Oryzias latipes: one gene and its partners. The protein of the gene in region 1 interacts with the protein of each later gene in a pairwise test. Links are inferred from orthologs where the notes say so. Each region holds a gene or a part of one and is shown in the gene's direction. Other genes may lie near its edges. The genes, in order: N-chimaerin, nck2 and hemk1.

Region 1 (4,324 bases):
AGCTGTGGTCATGGACTGATCAGCCATTGTTTACATGCAGCTTCTGTCTGCAGCTTCCTCTGATGTTTCTCTGCTTCTCCTTTGCTTCTCTGAAGGATCTAAAGTGAGTTCAGGACAGGATTCAGGTCTGCGGTTCCATTGTTCAGCATATGGAGATCAGGATGGCCTTAAATGTCTTTGGTAAGCATCTTATTAAAATCTTATTTTTTTGTCATTTTAATCACCATTTGAGTGAATTGGCATCCTCTAATCGGTTAAAGGTTGTACATTTTTTTTAGAGAACAGAAGAAATGTGACCGTAACAGTTTAGTCCAAGGCAACTGTGCGTAAAGTTTCATTTCAGAGAAGAGAAGAGATTTAGACATTCCTCTAAAGTCAGATGACAATTTCCCAAAACCGCCGGCTAGCTTCCTGGTGCAGAAAGACGGTGTGTCCAACAGGTTTGCACGGCGCCATGACAGCCAGGAGCAGACGCTCCCTGAGCAGGAATGGAGGACAGGATGCAGAAGCCTCCGTGAGGGGCAGATAAGGCCGTGGAGGAGGTCTGACACGGGGCAGGAAGGCCGCCTACTGGTGTCACACACAGATATGGACGATGGCAGAAAACCCCACTTCAGAAGGTTTCTGTACCACAGAAGCCGAAAAGATGGTCGGATTTAAGTCTTTAGCTGCTCCGCTGGTCACCCAACAGAGGAATTCAGCAAAAAAAACATTGTATTTATGAAAAACAACAACCTTATCTTAAAAAAAACCCAAGATGTTCAGGTTGACCTCAACTGGTCAGGATCTCCGGTTACCAAAGATACGACTCTGAGGTCATTTTTAATCACGGTCGGATTCAAGGACACATCCGTCTGAGGTGTCCGGCCCGATTCCAGAAGCTCCTTCCAACAGGAAGTGAGCGTCCAAGTCCTTATCATCTCTACAGAAACGCTTAAAGCTCTAAAGGAGTTTGGTTCTGTGATCCAGAGACGACCACGACTGTAAATCTGGAATCCAAACATGCTCATGAGGATCATCCTGTGGAAAAAAACTATATAGTGTCTCTTGGCTGAAATATAATGTGTTTGAAGGACGGTGTTGTGCTCTATGGTCTGTTTGACTGATGACTAATGGGGAAATGATTAACTTTAGCTGCAGCTCATCCATTGTCCACATGGTGGCAGTGTCTGAAAGGGAAGGAGCTTTAAGGAAGTGAGGGACAGTAGCTACTGTGTATTTATCATTGACTGTGAAAACAATGGACGGCTCAACCCCTCCTGTCTCCTGTTCCCAAATAGGAAGTACCGTTGCTTCCTGATACGGGCGCCGCCTTGTTGAAACCAGTCCACAGTGATTGGTCCGAGACGCTCTAAGTCATCGTATCCATGGCAACTACTGTCGCCATTGCAGTTGATGCGATGACTCTGGCTGTGTCCAAACTCGACTGCTGCATCCCGGTCCTTCCGGGTGATGTTGTCCTTCGTCCAGTGGCTAGGCCGGATGTAACGGCTGTGAATTTGGACGATAATTCCAGCCGTTACATCCGTGAATGTCATGTTGCCTAGCAACCGTGAGTCCCGAAAACAGAGCGGAGTATTGAACCAGCTCAAAGTTTTCCTGCCTTATTTGATCCAACTTTTAATCTTGGAGGTGTAATTATAAAAACGTGTAATCATTTTTTAACACCGTCTCCCACTTCACAGTCTGCCACCGTTATCAGAAAATATCTAGGTTTGGCTGCAATGCATCTTGGGATATGTACAGCATAGACGGATACAGCAGATCAATCCTTGAAATCTGGGAAAAAGAAGGCCGTATCTTAGAGGCCGCATTTGAAGGAGTCGTTGAATTTGGACAGCTCGTGTCGCGTGACGTAAGCAGCCTTCAAATGCAGCCCAGGAAGAATGCAGCCCTAGAATTCGGACACGGCCTCAGAGCGATGACTGTCTACCGGATTCAACATGGCGGCGCCCGTGTCACGAAGCAACGGTGATGGATTTGGCCTCGTTTCACAAGAGCTGGAGGTTTCTACGGGTGATGTCACACCTCCATTCCTCCATTGTCTCTACAGTCTATGGTGCTTCCACGATGCTTTTGTACTGTCAATGGGATTCAGTTTGGTTTACAGCCCCATTCACACACACACATTCACATACACATCCACACACACATTTGCAGACATATACAAACATTTTGCTTCCATAAAAGTCACTTCTGTCACCACCAGGAGGAATGTGGTGTTCGGGGTCTTGCCAAAGGACACTTCACCACTTAGCCGTACAAGGCGGTAACCAAACCTGTGACTCATAGGTCAGAGGTCGCCCCCCCTCCCCTTGTCTGATGCCTCTTTGTGTTTCCAGATCATGACGATTATCGGCCGCCGGTGTGGAAGTCCTACTGTGAGTACAGGTCTTTGCTTGAATCGGTGTCCATGTTGTCAGTCGGCGGTCCTCACACACCAACTGTCTGTCGCAGTGTACCAGCTCCAGCAGGAGGCGCCACACCCCCGCAGAGTCACCTGCACCTCCGAGGTGAGACGCTTCCTCCCACCTCACTGTCCAGCCTTGTTTCAGATCCAACCTTTAAACCTGGAAAAGCCGATTTTCGTCAGTGCAGATTTTCCAAACGTCTTTCTTGGTTTGACTTGCAGCTGTTCAGCGGGTTGTTACCCATTCAATATAAACCTTTATTTTTTTTTTTTTAAATCAGCTTATTTAAGGTCACTCTGTGCTACTCCCCACTCTAGTGCAGACTTTGCCTGGGGGTAGTAAAGATGTGGGAGGGCACATCTGGTGTTTGTGGTTCCTATGGAAAACTGCTGAATGACCTGAGAGGGGCAGCTGGTGCTGACCGACAACAAACCGGTGGGCAGGAGGAATGAAAAAAGAACCCCAGACCCCCCCCCACATCTTCACGCCATTTCACAGACTCGCTGCTCTTATTCATTGTGGGGGTGTCAAGGTGTCGTGGTGATATTATGGCATGTATTTCACATTTCAGGAAGTGAAAAAGTTAACTTTTCAAACTATTTTCTCTAATAAATGTCGACTACTTTTGACGTGAAACAGAAAAGTTCACTCGTGTTTCCTCTTTGCTGCCTTCTGAAATCCTTCAGACTAAAGTTTTCAGTCAAAAATAGATTTGAAAGGCTTTGTGGAAGCTCACAAACACCACTCTGCCACGGGTGGAGGTTCAGAATCGGTCTATTTTTTGCGCTTAGGCTCATGAAAACAGCAGCGAGTCTCTCCTGCAGATGCGTGTCATGTTTGCCTCCGGCTCCAGAACAACTCATTTCATCATCCTCTCCAAAGAGGGACTGAAAATAGGCTCCCCTCCCCGTCTGATTCCGCTCCTCCCCTCAGCTCTCCACGGCGTGATGCTGAGAGTCGGCCACCAGCAGCTCTGGTTGCCGTCTGCGGTGACGCTCTTCACGTCTAAAAAGATTCTTCCAGAAAAGCTCTGAACCTCTCCGCTCCAGCCCCCGGATTGATATTCACAGCCGTGCTCGCCGCCCCCCGCTGATTTATTGGCTCAGCAGCAGTTTTGTGGGGAACCACACAATGTCTGACTCATGCACTATTCTCTGTGCACACACACTCACCAGGCAGCTTCGGGGTCCTGAAGCCCCTCCCACATGTTTGACATGGAAAACCTTTGTGTCCCCGCAGGTGGAGAACCGTCCTAAATACTACGGCAGAGAGTAAGTCCTCCTCCTTCTCCTCCTCCTCCTCCTCCCTGCGGCCATGTTGGCGCCTTTTCCACCATGACGGGTCTGCTGGAGGTTCTGCTCTGCTTCCGCTCAGGTTCCACGGGATGATCTCCAGGGAGGAAACGGACCAGCTCCTGAGTCAGGCCGAAGGCAGCTACCTCATCCGAGAGAGCCAGAGGCAGCCGGGCACCTACACCCTGGCCCTGAGGTGGGTTTGATCCCCGACCAGGAGCTCAGTTTTAAGTTCACAGAAACTCAAAGTCTCAAGTTTGGGGCGGTTTGCCAAAAGAAAAAAACATCTAAATGTTTTAAACCTTTCCAAACAAACCGCAGGAGATGAAAACGACAACGTTGTTTCAGAAGCACGGAGGTGGAAGTTCATAATTCGCACTTGTTGTGCAGATTATTGTGAAGTACATTTGTGTCTTTGTGACTCAAAGCTGCAGCTGAACTGAAAATGGTTCATTCAACAGGCCGTCGAGACTTTTTTATGCAATCCACCACAGTTACTGCTGGACAAATATGACAGAAAGCATCTAAAAAACTACCATCCAACTTAATAATCTTTGTTTTTTTGGGGCAAAAGCCTCACATGGAAAAAAAATACGTTTAAGGTGCTTTTGCCTCCGATAT
Region 2 (3,598 bases), on another chromosome or scaffold:
TTAGGAAGTGAAGATTTCTAATAGACAGTGATGAAAGTCTTCCGGGAATTCCCGGAAATCCGGGTTTTTGAGCAAACCGAACGTACTTTCCGGGAAATAAAGACCTGATCTCTACGGACAAATCGCTTTCCGGATTAAAAAATGGTCTGAAATCAGCTAATTTTAGCTTTATTTTCTATATTTCTCCGCAGATAGCTTCCTCTATGGTCGTGGCCATCCCTCGTCTTCCCGGCCTAATTGACCAATGACGGGACGTTTTAGTTGCTTTCGGATGCGTCGACGGGTCTGATTGGCTCTGTCTGCACCACGTGGTCAGCGTGACTCGCTTCCCTAGAGACCAAAACTGGCGGACCCACGCTAAATTTTCACAAACACATCTGAAGAGTTTGCGATCAAATTTGTGTTAAAATAATGGCAGGCATCGTCATTATTGAGCGTGGTCACGACCTCAGTTGTGAGAAGACGATAAAAAACAAATTGAAGTGGTCTTGGCTGGAAAAAAAAGATTTTTAAGGTAGTGTAGGTCAAATACTTTTTTGTGTAAAATAATCTCAAAACCACATTTTGAAATAATTTCAATTTTAGTTTTGAGTTTCAGTTTTTATTTTGAATACATTTCTTTATCTAATTTATTTGTATTTCCTAATTACCATGATTTAGTTCAGTATAGTTGACATTAATTATAAGTATTTGATGGTTTGGACCCGCACTCCCTTAAAAAATAATGTTTACAATGTTTAGTTTAGTTTGTATGTTTGTTTTGATATTTCCCAGATTACTTAGTATTGGTGTTAAAGAATTGATGTATTATGTTATAGAATTATAGTTTAAAGCAGATCCCATATTTTGATGTAATTATAGTTTGAGAAAACAGTGCAAGTGGATGTTGTACATCAGTCATTTCTAAAGCAGAAATAATGTATAAATAACTGAGGTATTTTCATAGAATATCATAGTTACTGGTGTTCTTTTTGCCATTTGGGGCTTTGATGTTACTATATTTTAGCAATTGTATGTTTTGCAGCTTTAAGGAAAAGCGTAGATTGTAGGATTGTGTTACTTTGAGCAATTTTCCAAATTCTTTTTTAGGACCAGCAAGTCCTTAATGGAGAGTCAAACTAGGGGTTTGAATGACAAATCATGATGCTCCAATTAGTCTTAGTTTCTTGATAAAGAAGTGAATAACTAGTTGCCAGAATGCACCAGAATGCATCTAAGACCACGTATTTTTCCAAAATTTCGCTCTGTGCCCGCCATATCGCTCAAAGAAAAGTTCAGGGATTTTTTCCTTGCCTGACTTTCATCACTGAATAGAAAAATCCACCAATTAAGGCTTCACCTGGAGTCTACTTGAATTATTCATCACAGTACACTTCCTGCTCAGAGCAGCAGTTAGTTTATCAATGGGATTCTTGATGACTCGGTTTATGTTTTTGCTGAGTCATGGTTCTTTTTTCTATTAAGCATTAGAAGCCCCATATATTCTGCTTAGTCATGAACAAACAAAACAGAAAGGTGAAAAGACTATTTAATAAATGAGAAACATTTGCAATCTCTGATTTATATTTGGAGGCATTTTAACCCTTTAAAGCCCCCCACCTCACTGAATATTCAACTTCTTTCATTTTCTACGTCACAAATACGCTTTTTTAAACGACATCTTTTCGTCTGCTCCTGATTCACATCGATTTGAATAAAAAAATACTAAGAAATCCAACTTTAAGCATAATTTTCTTTAAATATACATATACATGTCCTTCATCATGAGGAAATTGTCACAAGAACATGTTAAAAACACCGTTTTCATCAGAGTGGATCTTTAAAGTTTAAGTCCTGAAGTTCACCTGCATTTCCTTCTCGCTTCTTTAAAGACTTGGAGCCAAATGGTAGCAACTATTTCACCATACAAGGAAGTAGCACCAAACAAAAATCCTCCTGAAGACAACTGGATTTATTTATTTTTATTATTTTATCATTCTCATAAACTTCTTTCAGACTTTTCCAAAGCATAGATAAGGAAACCTAGCGCCCTGACTCTGCACTTCCAGACTGTTTCCGTCTGAATTTCGGCACCAAAAACTAATTCTGTTCTAAAATATTGTTGAGCTCAGAAGCTTCTGAGCTGAGAGTTATGACAGAATTAGCTTCATGTCTCAGAATGAATCAAACTTTAATAAAAGGTTTCATCTTTTTCATCTTTCATCTCTTTTATGCTCCAACAGAGGAACTCAAAGGTTTGCTACACGTGTTTTAAATTAAAGACATTTATACATACATTGTATTAAATATAACTTTATACCAGAAATGCATAAATTACCTGTGTTTTTTTTAAATTGTGTTTTTTGTAACATCTTATTAAGCGTTTTGTCTCTTTCATACAATAAACACTCTTTAAAATAAACAAGTCAAACATAATGTAGATTAGTAGATGTTTTGTTTTTCTTCCTTGCCCCTCTAAATGAGACGATTTATCATTTTGGAGTAATTAACTCTTTTCTGATGTTTGGGTCAAAAAAAGTTTTTTTTTTTTCCTTTAAAAAAATGTGGGGATAAAGATTCAGACCGAAAAAAATGGTCTGTTTTTGCCACAAAAAAAAGGTTTAACAAAAGAATATTTTATACTTACATAAGCAACACATTTATTGTCCACTTAAGTGTGGAGCCCAAAAGCCTCTCAAAGCAGCTCCTCAGACCTCCTCTTTCATTACATGTGATCCATAATGCGGAGCAGTTAGGAGCAGGATAAAGGGAGTAAAAGGAGGTTTTATCTGGAACTATCTCACAAAAAAGACAAAAAAACACAAAAAGAAACAAAAGCCTGAAGCAGAAAGGCTGCAAATGGGAGACTCTGCTGCCATCTGCTGGAGAGTCGGCTCTAATCCATCTTCTTTGTTTTGCAGCCCAGTGATTTCTCTGTGTCTCTGAAGGCGGTGGGGAAGAATAAGCACTTTAAGGTGCAGCTCTCAGACGGAGTGTACTGCATCGGCCAGCGCAGGTTCAACTCCATGGACGAACTTGTGGAGCACTACAAGAAAGCCCCCATCTTCACCAGCGATCAGGGGGAGAAGTTGTATCTGGTCAAAGCGCTGCTGTGATTCACACGCCTCGACGCTCTCATAGCCCCGCCCCCCTTCTTCCATTACCTGTCTCACTTGACCAGGTTTCAGATCCTCCGGTCTTCCACCGGCCTCTCTGCCCTGGATGTGTTTCCAGTGAGCACATCTGCTGCTAACAGAACGTGTGAGGCCTTGTTGGGGTGTGGGGGGGGGGGGGGGGGGGGTCTCACTCTGATGTCACTCATCATGTCTATTTACAAGCAGGGACGTTGTCAGTCGCACCGTCGCTCTTAAAACACACAGGAGATCCAAACCTTGAGCTCTCATTTTCTTTTAAGGACTGCTTTCAGACCTCTTTGTTTATATTTCCTCACCAGTTGTTTTTCACAAAGTGACCACAATCACTCTTTTGCCTTTTTAATCGTTTTTCTCCCACCATTCCTTTGATTTCTGCAATTCCTGAATTTGTCTGCCTCAGCCGGTCTGAACTCTTTCCTTAAGGCAGAGGGGGGCGGGGCCTCATTGCAATAGAGGAGACCGCC
Region 3 (4,386 bases), on another chromosome or scaffold:
ACCTGACAAAGAAAAATATAGAATCAACTCATATTTTTATGTCATTTCTCAGTTCAATATAACATATAAAGAAGATTCAACTTATTTATTTAAATTAAATATGATTTTTTTAAAGGGAGCTACTCTCGTATTCATCTGTACTTCTGTTAAAATACTGCACTTTTACGGTTTCATTTAATAGACCTTTAGAATTAGGTATGGATTTATTTCAAGCAATGAAAACAGGGCAAGGCAAACAAGAGTGATACATTTACACATAGATATATCAAACTTAAGAGGATTAGTAATTATTTGACTGGAAAATAAAATATTGAAAGTAAATATCCATTTCTATACATTCTTCGAACACATGTAGGTGATGCTATTATAATTACTGTTGATCATAAATCTTAATGATACAACACATGACACATTGAATCCATGTGAGAGATATAATAATAATCATATAAAAAGGAAAAAAAAGTGCAATTTTAACAAGTGGGGCGTCAAGTTAAAGTGAAATGTACTGACATTGATTGTTATTAAAAGAAACATTATGTGCAAAAAGGAAGCGAAAAATAACAAAAGGAAAAACAAGTTTTCTTACTTTCTTGTGTTAGGACAAAATAGGGCACAGCATAATGCGGTACTGCATAATAGAGGCATTGTTGTGGCCGTTCTACTAAGGTAAACATTAAAGACTAAGTTACTATTCTAGTCTGCTTACGGATCATGATCACAACTTCAGACTAGCACTCACCTGATATGTTATCTTTGGACCCAGTGTGGGGTGAAACTCACTAAAGAATATACACTCTATCCGATTGACCATGCCTGTGACGAACTTCAAACACAGAGGCTAAAAATTAGAGTCAGAGATACCGACAGAAGAAACGGACGATGTCGTTTCTTCCTTTCCTGCTTCAGCTAAACGAAGCTAGCTAGCTAGCTAGCTCCACGCTTTTGCGCCTAAGGAAAAAATAGTGGCGACATTTCTACAGCGTCCAACAGTCCTAATATTGATCACCGAATAAAATATAGTATTATCGGTGCGTTTAGAGATATTGTTGTTGGACGCGTCTTAAACTGTTTAAACAGCATGTGAAAACCCTCAGCAGTCAACAACACAAGTCGCTTCTCTTCTTCTGTAGAGCAGTTGGACGTTGGTGATCGGCTGACAGAAGATTTGTCGCCACCTATTGGAAAATGAGGGATAATACAACGGCTTCCTTAAAAGTATTACCCAAAAAGCCCTGTACGCTTCACAATGAGTCTCAGAGGAATTTAATGCAAATTTAACATCAATATATTGATGCTCTGATGCATGACAAATACTAAAACTTCTAAAATTGTTCATTTTCACTTTCACGGACTCACTATGGACTCACTAATATCATCAAGGCATTTTAGTTTTTGAGACGTCCTAAAACACTAGAGTTAAATGTTATTTACTTTTATTAACTCTACATTATTTTTCGTTGAAATTGTTAAGTAGAATGTTTTAATCATTCTTTCTATTAATAAGCACCTCTCTATTTCTGCTGGCTGTTGTAGTTCATATTAACCGACGCACTTGAAGGCAGCACGCTTCGCGAGAGTCAGTCATGCGCAGTCCAGGATTGGTGTGTTTGCGTAAAGCCCTGCGGAAACAGTACTTTCCGAGCTCCTTTCAATTCTCATGTGGACTACAGAGGAAAACGTCTTCAGTTTATAGTCAAATTACAGTCACTTAGTATAGAGAATCATTTCGTCAACTATAGATAGACTGTATATATAGACTGTAAATGGTTAATGTGTTATTTTAGTGCAGCATGATTCTTGCCACGTGGGGATGTGAACGCTGTTGTTGTTATTGAACATGTGGAGACGAGTGCTCAGAGGAGGTCACGCTTTTATTGGGTTGAGGAGTGGCGGGACAAAGGTAACTGCTGAAACACAACATGCTTTGATCACACAAAGACCAGAATTAATAATGTGGTGCAACAGAAATGACCACGTGCGCTTAGTGATGAAATTAATGATACGCAGGCTTTTATTGTTTATTATTGTGCAGTAATAAATGGATGGATAAAACCAGTTGGAGCCTGCTTTTTGGGCTGATAGCTGTGAGCAAACTGGTCCTGCAACAGAGTAAGTAACAGAGTATAACGTGTGTATCAGAGTGAAGATGATAATCAAAGATGCAAAGGGGTTAAATGATCCTTTAACAGCTAAATTATTCACGAAAGCAACTCAAACCTATACAAATTAAATATCTAATTATTTGACATTTCTATTCTTTTTTGTGCTTTTTTCTTCCATTTGTTTATTCTTTCTTTGTCATATGTTTAAGCCATCCTCAGTGCTTGTAATGAAATATCAAATTTGCACTGAAAATCAGACCCTTTGAAAATTATTTAAATTTGAACAATATTCTGTGTGCCAAAGGTACCACCCACATCTGAATTTCTAATAAACTCCTGCTGCTCTGCAGAAACTATCCTAGACAATGACACCGTTCTGTTTTGTTTTGGGGGGGTCTAGAAATTGCATGATTATAATTATGAGGCCGCTTAGAACGCTTTTAAATTAAAACAAAAGATTGGAGTGGATCTTCAACATCCTGTCACACCTTTATTTTTATTTTTTCATGCCCAAGCTAAAGTGGATCTAACGAATCAAGTCGGGTTTGTTTTTACTCTAAATCAACACAAACAAACGAAGAGATTCCATTTTTGTCAGTGAGCCATCTAAATTTCTGAACAGTTTCATCCAAGTCAAACCAGTTGCCATGTTTTGGAGATGCACTCCAGTAAGTGTACTCAAATTAGTTTGTGTGAGCAGCTACAGAGGCATAAAATGCAGACAAACTTGTTTCTGGTATGATCTTGTACTCACTTGTACTGAGTAAAAACACTGGAGGAACTGGAAGAAAGTTTTGACCTCCCCGGTCCTTTCACTTTGTAAAGAAAAAATGTTTCTCAGGAGCTTCAAGCTCAACTCTTTAGAGATGAACAAGAAATACCTTGATGCAGGTGTGTGGAGAAATGGAATCACAGCAGAGCTTCCTTCTCCTGACAGCATGTTTCAACTCCTTCCATCAGAACACTCTGAAGTTTCGCTCTTAAGGCCCGTACACACCGGGACGAATATTCGCCAGGCGTTATTCGCCAGCATTTTTCGCCACGTTTTTTGTGTTCACACCCAGGCGATTTTTGCTGACGATGAGCCGAGCGAACATGCAATTTCATTCCTTGACATTAGATGGCGCTTAATGTAAAACAGAAATACTCCTGTACACAAGGTGGCGCTGCGCAACTTTACGCTTCTTAAAGTCGCTTTTCACTCAGAAGAAGAGAGCAAGTATTTACGCGCTTGTCAGAATCAAACAAAGAAAACATGAATATTTCAAGCACCAGTAGCTCCAACTGGTGCTTGGTTCGGGGATATTTTAGAATGTCCGTCATTCTTTCTTCGCAGCAGTGTAGACGCATCTTCTTCGCTGGTATGTGTGCTCAGCAAGGCAGTTTTGTGTTTGAGCGCCCCCAAGTTGTGTTTTAGTGTAACTTCAGAAGCTCCAGACACGTGTGCAAAAGCGCCATTCTCATTGGTCATATAGTTTTCGACGCGGCGCGTCAAACCAAAAAAAACCGAACCCGAGGCGTTTTTAAAAAAGTGACGCTTTGACGCATGGCGTTTTTTCGCGTCGGTGTGCACACTCACATTGGTGCCCTTTGTTTAGTCACGAGGCGTTAAACGCAGCGAATGTCGCCGGCGAAATTCGTCCCGGTGTGAACAGGCCTTTAGTCATTCTTGCCTTTGGGACATTTTCCTGTTGGTAGACTGACACAAAGCTTTCTAGGCAAAACATTTGATTTCAAAATGACTTGATGGTCTTGAGATTTCATCGTTTCTGAGTCAGATGCAGCAAAGAAGTCCCATATCATAGCCAAGCCTCCTCCGTGCTTCACAGTATGACGGTCCTCATGTCTTTGTTTCAGTTTTGCATATGTAATCACAGAGCTGATGTTCCCAAAAAGCTCCAGTTTGGTCTCGTCTGTCCACAGGATTTTCTCTCTGAAGCTTTGTGGCTGATCAATACACAGCGTGACAAATTCCAGTCTGGATTGTAAAAAAGATGGTGATTTGTGGACCAACACAACTTCCCTGCTCTGTTCCATAGACGACTAGAACCATAAACCTCTTTTTTTTCCTCGTCTGATCTGGTATCTAGTCAGAACTGTACGGCTGGATAGATCCACTATTGCTCGCCATTTTTGTTGCACTGGTAATGTTAGGTTGGGGTTGTGAAGGGCTGTAAGCTAGAAGAAGAGAGTGTAAACACTGGACTCTAGGCAGCAGGGAGGGTGAAGGGGGCGGGGTTGCCTCATGCTAATCGTCCCCCCCACAAGTCAGAGGTAAATTTCT

The links.
Region 2: the proteins of N-chimaerin (region 1) and nck2 interact in binary tests that used the Homo sapiens proteins (3 or more experiments, as listed by UniProt). The two-hybrid records come from large-scale screens. The link is inferred for Oryzias latipes from reciprocal best matches to the Homo sapiens genes CHN1 and NCK2.
Region 3: the proteins of N-chimaerin (region 1) and hemk1 interact in binary tests that used the Homo sapiens proteins (3 or more experiments, as listed by UniProt). The two-hybrid records come from large-scale screens. The link is inferred for Oryzias latipes from reciprocal best matches to the Homo sapiens genes CHN1 and HEMK1.

The regions. Positions count from the first base shown.
Region 1 is NC_019860.2:23,907,142-23,911,465, forward strand, and holds the start of N-chimaerin, read left to right. Parts: upstream 1-1,462; 5' UTR 1,463-1,943; coding exon 1,944-2,016; intron 2,017-2,342; coding exon 2,343-2,381; intron 2,382-2,457; coding exon 2,458-2,513; intron 2,514-3,650; coding exon 3,651-3,682; intron 3,683-3,785; coding exon 3,786-3,899; intron 3,900-4,324. UniProt on the Homo sapiens protein: GTPase-activating protein for p21-rac and a phorbol ester receptor. Involved in the assembly of neuronal locomotor circuits as a direct effector of EPHA4 in axon guidance.
Region 2 is NC_019879.2:10,333,101-10,336,698, forward strand, and holds part of nck2 (cytoplasmic protein NCK2), read left to right. Parts: intron 1-2,900; coding exon 2,901-3,095; 3' UTR 3,096-3,598. UniProt on the Homo sapiens protein: Adapter protein which associates with tyrosine-phosphorylated growth factor receptors or their cellular substrates. Maintains low levels of EIF2S1 phosphorylation by promoting its dephosphorylation by PP1.
Region 3 is NC_019863.2:8,120,409-8,124,794, forward strand, and holds the start of hemk1 (hemK methyltransferase family member 1), read left to right. Parts: upstream 1-1,579; 5' UTR 1,580-1,837; coding exon 1,838-1,900; intron 1,901-4,386. Other genes in the region: GATOR complex protein NPRL2, read right to left, coding at 1-2, 740-811. UniProt on the Homo sapiens protein: N5-glutamine methyltransferase responsible for the methylation of the glutamine residue in the universally conserved GGQ motif of the mitochondrial translation release factors MTRF1, MTRF1L, MRPL58/ICT1 and MTRFR.